Linked DNA regions of Oryctolagus cuniculus. The protein of the gene in region 2 purifies or fractionates together with the protein of the main gene of each other region. This does not show direct contact. Links are inferred from orthologs where the notes say so. Each region holds a gene or a part of one and is shown on either strand. Other genes may lie near its edges.

What was found. The genes of interacting proteins can lie anywhere in the genome.
Region 1: the proteins of MYO1E (region 2) and OSTF1 purify together in Homo sapiens (co-immunoprecipitation; 3 studies listed by BioGRID and IntAct, counting the BioPlex papers as one, with this or other methods). This does not show direct contact. The link is inferred for Oryctolagus cuniculus from reciprocal best matches to the Homo sapiens genes MYO1E and OSTF1.

The regions. Positions count from the first base shown.
Region 1 is NC_091432.1:155,170,701-155,175,563, forward strand, and holds the start of OSTF1 (osteoclast-stimulating factor 1), read right to left. Parts: upstream 2,905-4,863; coding exon 2,772-2,904; intron 1-2,771. Other genes in the region: NMRK1 (nicotinamide riboside kinase 1), read left to right, coding at 2,903-3,861.
Region 2 is NC_091443.1:82,023,872-82,028,009, forward strand, and holds part of MYO1E (unconventional myosin-Ie), read right to left. Parts: intron 3,171-4,138; coding exon 3,013-3,170; intron 1,473-3,012; coding exon 1,380-1,472; intron 1-1,379. UniProt on the Homo sapiens protein: Actin-based motor molecule with ATPase activity. Unconventional myosins serve in intracellular movements. Their highly divergent tails bind to membranous compartments, which are then moved relative to actin filaments.

The DNA.
Region 1 (4,863 bases), on a different chromosome or scaffold from region 2:
TAGAGGAAGACTTTTTCCTCCCCAAAGTGTTACTAAAGCAGCATATGTGCGATGCCTTTGAAGTTTTATGATGTTTTTACCACGACTAACGAAAGAACTCAAAACACTGACATTTGCTTCTTCAAAGTCACAGGAATTTATTTTCACAAGACACATGAAATATTTATGTTGCTTTACTTCCACCACCAAAATCAATACGCCATTTGAAAGAAATAGCCAAGGTCAGACATCAGGGTTCCAAATGTAATGGATTGGTATCAAGCCTTCTTAGAATAAGATGATTCAAGGGTCCAAAGCTTATCCAATACCCTTTGGTCCATCCTTAGCTCAAGTTCAGAGCCATTCTCCTTGCTGCTACCATCCAGGGGGTGACCTTTCTCTGCAGTGTCACAAGGAAGTCTGACTGAAGACCAGTTGTCCCTTCCTTTTCACTTCCTGCCCACCAGCTCCAACAAACACATGACCACTCATGTGAATGGTACACCATGCCTAAAGCAAAATAACATAGTGTTTAAATTCACTCTGAGTTCTAATCCTACTGGCTACCTCTTTGCCCAGAATTTGACTTTCAGCAAGTCAATCAACACTTCTGTGTCTTGTCTTCATCTTGTCACCTGTGCAATGTGTACAGAAACAATGCAGATCTCACATGGTTGTTGGGAAAAATAAGTGAATTAATACACGTAAAAGTTGGGACACTTCTGTTTGCAATTAAGCCAATACAAAATTTCAAGTCTGACTGACACTAATATTTCTCAGCGTAAATTATAATGCAAAAAAACTGATTTTTTAAGGTTGTTTTCATTTATTTATTTGAAAGGCAGAGTTACTGAAAGAGACAAGGAGAGACACAGAGAAATCTTCCATCTGCTGGTTCATACCCTAAATGGCTGCAACAGCCAGGGCTGGGCCAGGCAGGAAGCCAGGAGCCAGGAGCTTCATCCAGGTCTCCCACTTGAGCACAGGGAGTCAACCACTTGGAACATCCTCCGCTGCTTTCCCAGGAGCATTAGCAGGGAGCTGGATCAGAAGTGGAGCAGCCAGGACTTGAATCAGTGTGCATATGGGGTTCAAGCGTTGCAGGCAGAGGCTTTACCCACTATAGCACAGCGCCACCCCCCCCCAAAAAAAAAAAAAAACTGATTTCTATAATGTCTGTATTTGTGTTTGGATCTCATTGACAACTTACTGTGAAGTCAAAGTTCTCTACAACAGCAGTCATATTTAACTATGTGCTTTCTGAGTTACTCAGGAGGAAGGGAGGGGTAGGCATTGTGGTTCAGTGGGTTAAGCCATACTTGCAATACAGGGATCCTCTATCTGAGTACCGCAGCACCACTGCTCCACTTCCAACCCAGCTCCCTGTTAATACTCCTGGGAAAGCAGTGGAAGGCGGCCCAAGTACCTGGTCCCCTGCTACCCACGTGAAGAGATCAGGATGGAGTTCCTGGTTCTTAGGTTCTGTCTGGCCCATCCCTGCTTGTTGAGACCATTTGAAGAGTGAACCAGAGAATGGAAAATCGATCTCTCTCTCTCTCTCTCTTTCCCCCTCCCTCTCTCCCTTTCTCCCTCTCTTTCAGTTTCTCCCTCTGTATCAATCTGCCTTTCAAATCATACAACAAAAATGGTTCCCAGGAGTGAGCACTCAACTAGTTACAGGATGATTCCGTAAGCCACACCCAAGCATGCATGAATACACAAGCAAGCACACACTCAGCGGCAGCACACACACACACACACACACACTCCTATCGCTGCCCTCCAGATGCAACACAGGCATCACTTACGTCTGGAGAGATGAACTGCTTCTCAGAACACTCTTTAAAGCACTCTGCTTAGCAATCAAAAACCGACTCTGCTTTGTTGGACACTAGAGGTCCTGATTTACATCTGGGTTTAGAAAGCTGACATCTCGTGCATACATACTTCACATGCAAATTCCTCGTCAGATTCCACAAGCAAAGCAGAGCTTTGCCCCATCTTTTGCTCCCCGCGTGGCCAGACTCAGCAGCTGCCTTCACACCCAGCTGACCAAACTGGAAACCTTCATGGACTGACTATTGCACAAGGGTGACTGTTCTGAAGTACAGGAACCTGAGCCCGCCACTGAATGATCTCAAAAGAAAGACAACCTCACAATCACTAAAGCTGTAGAGCTTACCCAACATTTAGGAAGGTCAAGGGAATATAATGAACCCACGCGACTACCTCTTGCTACTGAAGTCACTTCAAAACCTGACGTAAACAGATTAAGTTTCAGCCTTTGCTATTCCGAAATTACAAGACTGGAAGAAAAAAATATTGAGAGTCTTTCGGGTCATTTATCTACCTTTTCCTACCTTTCCCTTAATACACACTCAGCTGTCCCTAAGAGTGTGTTAACGGTGCTGAATTGAAATGTCAGCCCCTTTTAAACGCTCTCGCTTCTCTCTAACGCAGAGAATACTTTGAGAGTCACAAACGAACAAGAACAATCGGCCAAGAAAACTGCTTGGAGGAGTTGGCGAGCGTCACGCCCAAGCCCCTGGAGAGGCCGAGGCGGAGGACGCGGTTGCGCGCCACCGCGGCACCTGCGAAAAGCCACGGCCGAGGTGACCGTGCCGCAGCCCGGAGGGACCCACGGACGCCCCACCGCAGACCCCGGGGTCCCCACCCAGCGTCGCCAGGCTCCCGAGCCCCGCAGGCGGCCGGCTCATCACCCCACCCTGCGGGCCGCGCACTTCCCGTTCGCCCCGGCCGGTCAAGAACTGGAGTTTGACAGTGACACGCACCGAGAAAGAGGAAGTGGCGAAGGAGCCTTCCCAGCCACACTGTTTTCCGTTTTCTAAGGCGATCGACGGCCCTGGCTCCCTGGACAGCTTCGACGGGACTTGGCCATCGCACTCCCGAGAAGGTGGAGCGCATGACAACGTTGCAAACCCCAGCGCGACGCCTCTTTAACAAGTTTTTTTTTTTTTCTTTTTTTAAGATCCTCGAAATCCTTTTGCTCTCCAAAAGTGATCCAGCAAAGCTAAGGACCCCGGCGGTGGGGAGTCTGACTGGGAAAGCGAGGCTCGGGGCCGGAACGCGCCCGGTCCGCCTTGCCAAGTGGCACAGGAAGCGCAGGGCACCGAGGCGGCCGGAGGACCCGGCGAGCGCCTGCCTTACCTGGTTTGACTGGTTTGGGAGGCGGCTTCGACATCTCGCTTCCTGGAGCGGTGACTCCCAAAGACCCCAACGAGAAAAGCCAACCGGTCGCCCAGTCAGCCTGCACTGCGGACGCCCCCAAAGTTTCTTTTTGTGTGATTGGCAGACCCAGCGCCTCCAAGGACCTGCGCCCAGACTCGGCTGCGCGAGGAACGGACGCGGTCAGAGCGGCCGGGCCCAGCGCTCCGCCCCGGCCCGCCCCGCCCCGCCCGCGGCCGGAGCCCTCCCGGGCGCGCGCCGGGCCGACGAGGAAGTGGCCGCCGGCTCGCCGCGCGCTAATTGGCTCCCAGGGTGGCAGCTTCGCCGCGGCTCGGAGCGCGGGGCGGCGCGCACGGCGGCGGGACCAGCAGCGACCGGGCGAGGGCGCTGCAGACACGCGCCAGGGCAGGTCTGGCCGCGCGCACCCGCGACGGAAGGGGGCCGGAGCCTTGCGGGAGCGCGCGCGAGGCCACGCTCCCCGGAGCCCCGCCTCAGTCCCGCCCCGTCGCGGACTGCAGCTGGCCGCTGCGTCGGACCCGGGTGGGCAGGGGCGCCTTCGGGGGCCGCACCTACCTGGCCGGCTTCCTACCTGGGCGGAGCGCGGGGGAAGGCGGTGGGGAGTGGCGGGTCAGCGCCAGGCGCGCACTTGTCCGTCGCCTCTGCAGCGCTGCCGCCGGAGACGCGAGCCGGAGCCAGGTGAGTGCCGGCCTTTCCCCGCTGCACCGCCTCGCGGGGCCTGGGGGTCGTTGCAGAGTGGGTCTGCGTGGGACTCTGGCCTCCCGGAGCGGGCCAGAGGAGGACGCGTGCTCCTGACGGCTTGGGGCTTAGCGTCCCGTGCGAATCCGGGAAATGGGCGCGCTCCCTGCACGGGAACGCACAGGGAGTGCGGAGCACTCACAGAGTCGCACAGAAAGGCTTTGACGTCCTCAGGCCCACTATTGCCTGAGTGTGTACGGCTTTTTAAGAAGTTTCCTACGCTTTTTTAATGGCTGAAGAGAAACCAACAGTATTTTGTAGCACGTGAAAATATGGTGAGATTTAGATGCAGCGGCCCTTATAAAGATTCGTTAGCAGGCGGTCGTGGTCCGTTTGTATATGGATTGTCTGCGCTGCCTTCACTAAGGACCGAAGGCTTGAGTAGCTGCCTGCAAAGTCCAAGACGGTTACTATCTGACACTTTACAGGAAAAAAAAAAAAAAAAAAAAAAAAAAAAAAAAAAAGGTGACCTCTGATCTAGCAGATTAAATCTCCCAGGAGGCTAGGGCTGTGTGCACAAATTCACCATAGCCTCGTCAGCCTTTTACGCTGGTTAAATATTTGGGGAAACAACAATTGAAAAGAAAAAGTATTTACGTAAGGCTGTATAGCAGTGAGCTTTCAGTGTTTCTACGAGAGGTTGGTTTTTCAAAATGGAGAGTTGAATGGGAAAGGGGCCTGGATTACGTTTGCAGGAACCCCAGCCTTGGGAAATTTCTGTTTACCAAAAGGAAGCAAACCTTGAACAAGTAGGAAGAGGCTGCCTGTCTCTTGGAAGATAATCAAAATATCTGCTGAATACAATCAATGAGAAGTCATGAAAACATTTCACCCTTTCAAAACTGCCCGGCTCCCTTTTGATGCATTTGAAAGCACATTTTGTTCTCATGTTGTCATCTTGCAAACTATTTGTGGCAGGCAATTGCTGTCTTCCCTTACAGT
Region 2 (4,138 bases):
GGCACCACTAGGCGGAGGATTAGCCTAGTGAGCCGCTGCGCCGGCCTGGGCACTGGCTTCTACGTGAGCATGGCCAGGAGGCTTCCGGGGCGGGAGACACAAGAGATGCTTTCACTGCCTGTCCTGGACACAGGTGTACGCAGGGATGATCTGAGACGGGAGCTCCCCAAAACCGCCCTCTTGGACCTGGAACCCTAAATTGACTAAACAGCCACCACTCTGGGAACAGCTTTTTGTGAATTGAATTTTGTGGAATGATGGGAAAACATGTCAATCTCCAAAGTGCTCTTGAAACATGAAACAGATGTGGAGGGACACAAAATCTTCAATTTATTCTGGCTTGTTGTTTACTGATCTGCAAGTTATCTTTTTATTTTCAGAAGAATGAGAAATATGAAAATATAGAGGCCCCCCAAACCCCTCTTGCAACAATTTTAAAATTCTTTTAGGGATTTACTAATTTATTTGAAAGGCAGAACAACAAAGAAAGAGAGAAAGGGAGAAAGGGAGAGAGGGAGAGAGGGAGAGAGGGAGAGAGGGAGAGAGGGAGAGAGGGAGAGAGGGAGAGAGGGAGAGAGGGAGAGAGGGAGAGAGGGAGAGAGGGAGAGAGGGAGAGAGGGAGAGAGGGAGAGAGGGAGAGAGAATCTTCTATCCACTGGTTCACTCCCCTAAAAAGCTACAACAGCCAGGAGGTTTCGGCCAGACTGGAGCCAGGAGCTCCGTCCACGTCTCCCACATCGGTGGCAGGGGCCAAGCACTTGGACCATTATCCACTGCCTTTGCAAGCACATTAGAAGGAAGATGCATTGGAAGCAGAACAGCCAGGACTCCCACTGGCACTCGAGACAGGATTCTGGCATTGCAAGCTGTGGCTTAACCCACTGCGCCACAACACCAGCCTTGACTTGAGAACAGATCTTCCGGATTCTAACTAAGAATAAATTTTTCTGCCCACTCTTTAAGCTGTTAACTAGTTGAAAAATACCGCAGAGGGATCTGTCTGGAGCTGGCTAGTGGGGGTGGGGTTAGACCCAACCGACTCCATTTCCATGAAGGCAGCATCCCACATCCTAAAACTGACAGCATTCAGTTGTCACGGAAGAAGGGTTCCTTTTGTGGATACGGATGCAGGACGGTCTTCCTAAGGGAGTCATACAGACGGGTGATGAAACCCAGACCGTTAGCGCAGTGACGGCTCAGTCTCACCGTCACTTCTCCTAAGTTTGGGGGTCACGAGTAGGGCCAGCGTGTCGGTAGGACACCTGGCGCTGCATCGGTCCGTGGCTGCATTTCCGTGCTAATGGGCTTCTTCCCATTCATAATGGACAACGCCCGGGTCCAGATTTAGTGGCGTCAGTCACGGTGCTCAGGTGGCTCACCTGGGGGAAGCGGGGCAGCTCTCATGGGGTAGTTGGCGTTCTGAGTCCCACTGGAATAACCTCTGTTTTGGATGGTGTTCCTTCTGGTAGGACCTGAAATAAACAAGCAAGACAAAGTGAAAGTCAGCGCGACTTAGGGTTCCCATGGAAAACTTTAGGGAAGGGGACGGGTACAGAGGGGACGGGATAGTCCATGGAAGTACAGTGCAGGGAGCCCCGGGGTGGGAGAGGCGGGAGCACGTGTCCACAGAGGCACAGTTCTGCATTACTGGAGATGGCGGCTTTTCAAAGACAGAGCGACCGTAGACACTGCACACACAGAAGTGCCCAGTGTTAGCTCAGCACCTGGGCTCTGTACAGCGGACACTGGCACCCAGCACAATCCCGCACTGACTGCACACCTGCCTGTGAATGGAGCCCTTCACACACGAGCTCGTGTGTACAGTTTGCCCACCGGGCACAGAGGCCACGAAGGGGGAGCAGATCTGCATGCTCCCCACAGACGTGCAGGAACCAGGCAACACCCCTGCGGGCTGGAGTTAGGGCTGGGACGGCAGGGCCAGGAGACATATCTGAGAACAGTAAAAAGGTCTCAAGTGGGCCATGAAGGAGGGCAGGATAAGCAGCTGCAAGAGGGATGCAGAGGGAATTTCTTGCAAACAGAAGAACTGAAGAACACAGGAAGGTGAGAAGTGACCGAGCACATACGGCATCAAGCAAGGGAACAGCCCTGCGGTCCTGGGAGGGGATGCTGGGTGAGCCGGCTGTGAGGCCCAGCACCAGGCACAGGGCTCCCTGTGGTACTGAGACCACCCCTCCCCACCCAGGAGGGTGTAATCAACTACCCTGTGAGTCCATGTTCTGCTTTGGGCCTACTGAACACCCCATGCACCTTAGTGTGCCCCACTCTGCCCTGCGGTCTGAGCCCCGTGGATGGCTAGGCCTCTGCATGCCAGCTGGGTGTGGCCAATGGGAGGCGCAAGGCAGGAGACAGGAATGCCAAGGACAGAGGGGCTGGGTACTGAGTGTGCCGGCCTCCTGTCTGCATCCTTAGCTCAACCCTTCTCTCCCTCTGCTGCTGCAGGTCTGCTGGCAATAATGTTGCCTTTTCCTGGGACCCTACTTGTTTCCCTCTAACCCCCACCTTTGATTTAAAAGCATCTTCAAAAACGTCACTGAAATGTGCTATCCGATTAAGTGCCGATCAATATACACACACCAACGCTTCCCGAGTGGGTCCATACACATACAGATATGACAATAGTAATCGGCACTGCACAACATATCCGAGAGCACACCAATGCATAGCTCTGCAGATGGGGTTTGATCAAAGCCTGTTTTATATGTGGCATCCTCTTCATTGATGGGCTATCTGTAGGGCATACGAATCCACAGCCCATGTGATGATGCTGTTCTGTGCATTATAAATGTAAGTTTGTAATGCCAGGCACGCTATTCATAAAGTCGTCAGCTGCCCGTTTCCCTCAATATTTCTCGGACCTGGAACGCCCCCTCCCGGAAGCAGCAGCTATCCTGAGGCAGCCTCCCAGAGCTGGGCATGTACTGTCAGCATTTGGTCACAAGAGCGGGGTGTGGAGCAGCACTGCCGCCGGCAGGGCCCTGGGACACTTACGGGAGTTCTTGGGCAGCCCGGGTCCGATGCTGACCTGTAGCACTTTGTTACTGGGCTTGAGGATGGCCAGGTCACCGAAGCCTTGGTGGAACTGCACCTGCCGAGAGCCCCCAGCACTCCAGGGACCCCAGTTCTCCTTTTTCAACTTCAGTTCAAGCCTGCAGCAAGGGCATGTGTTGGAATTAACAACCCGATCAGAACAACGGTGCTCACGGACCCCAGCAGGGCGTTCAGCTGCAGGCAAGGTGCGCCACACCATGCGGTAAACCTGGCCAGTGGGGACCAGGTGCAGGGCCCTGGGGGTGGGCACAGCAGTCACAGGTGTGGCGCAGCCGCCAGGTGACCACTGCACCAGAAGCAGATGCCTCGGGGAGCAGCACCTGTGAGAACCCGGCTGGCCAGGGAGACGCCCTGCTCACTGGCCAGCGTCACTTTGTCAGATGGACTCAGAAGCAACTGTCAGAAGGGACAATTTCCAGGCCACACCTGCTGTGCCGTGTCACTGTGCTTTTCACTGGACCTTGTGGGAGACCGAGAGATGCCAGGCACGAGGTGCCTCAGGGCACCTTGGCAGAACGTGACCACGATTTAACTGTGATCACATCATTACCACCACTCCCCACACCCAAGGAGGGGACAAAAGCATGAGCCGCCAAGATCCAAGCAAAAGGGAAGCGTTCTCATTGTTCCCAACTCCGCAGCCAGTTTGAAAGTTTCCCTTGCACCTCTAGGCCTCCATTATGCAACCCATATTCTATTTAAGCTTGTGTTTTCTCATGTTGCAACAAAGAAAAACCATTTTCAGTAGCTATTAGACACCTCCCTCATCGAGGCACTGAGGCTTGGTCTCGGCCTCATTCTTCTCAGCAGGAAGAAGCAGATTGTATTTCCATTTCATAGATGGGGAGATTTAACAGGAAAGGCTAAATAACTCACACACAGCGAACAGGAGAGTAGAAATTCAACAGGATGCCTGTAGCTGGTCCATTTGCCCATGTTGTCAGGGAGCGGAGACCCAGGCGGCAGCCGCCCCCGGCCCCCAGACTCCAGACGCCCCTGCTCCGTCATCTCACCCGCTCCCTGCCTGACTGCACCTTCTGCTCGGCTAAATAAAAGCCTCTTCGTG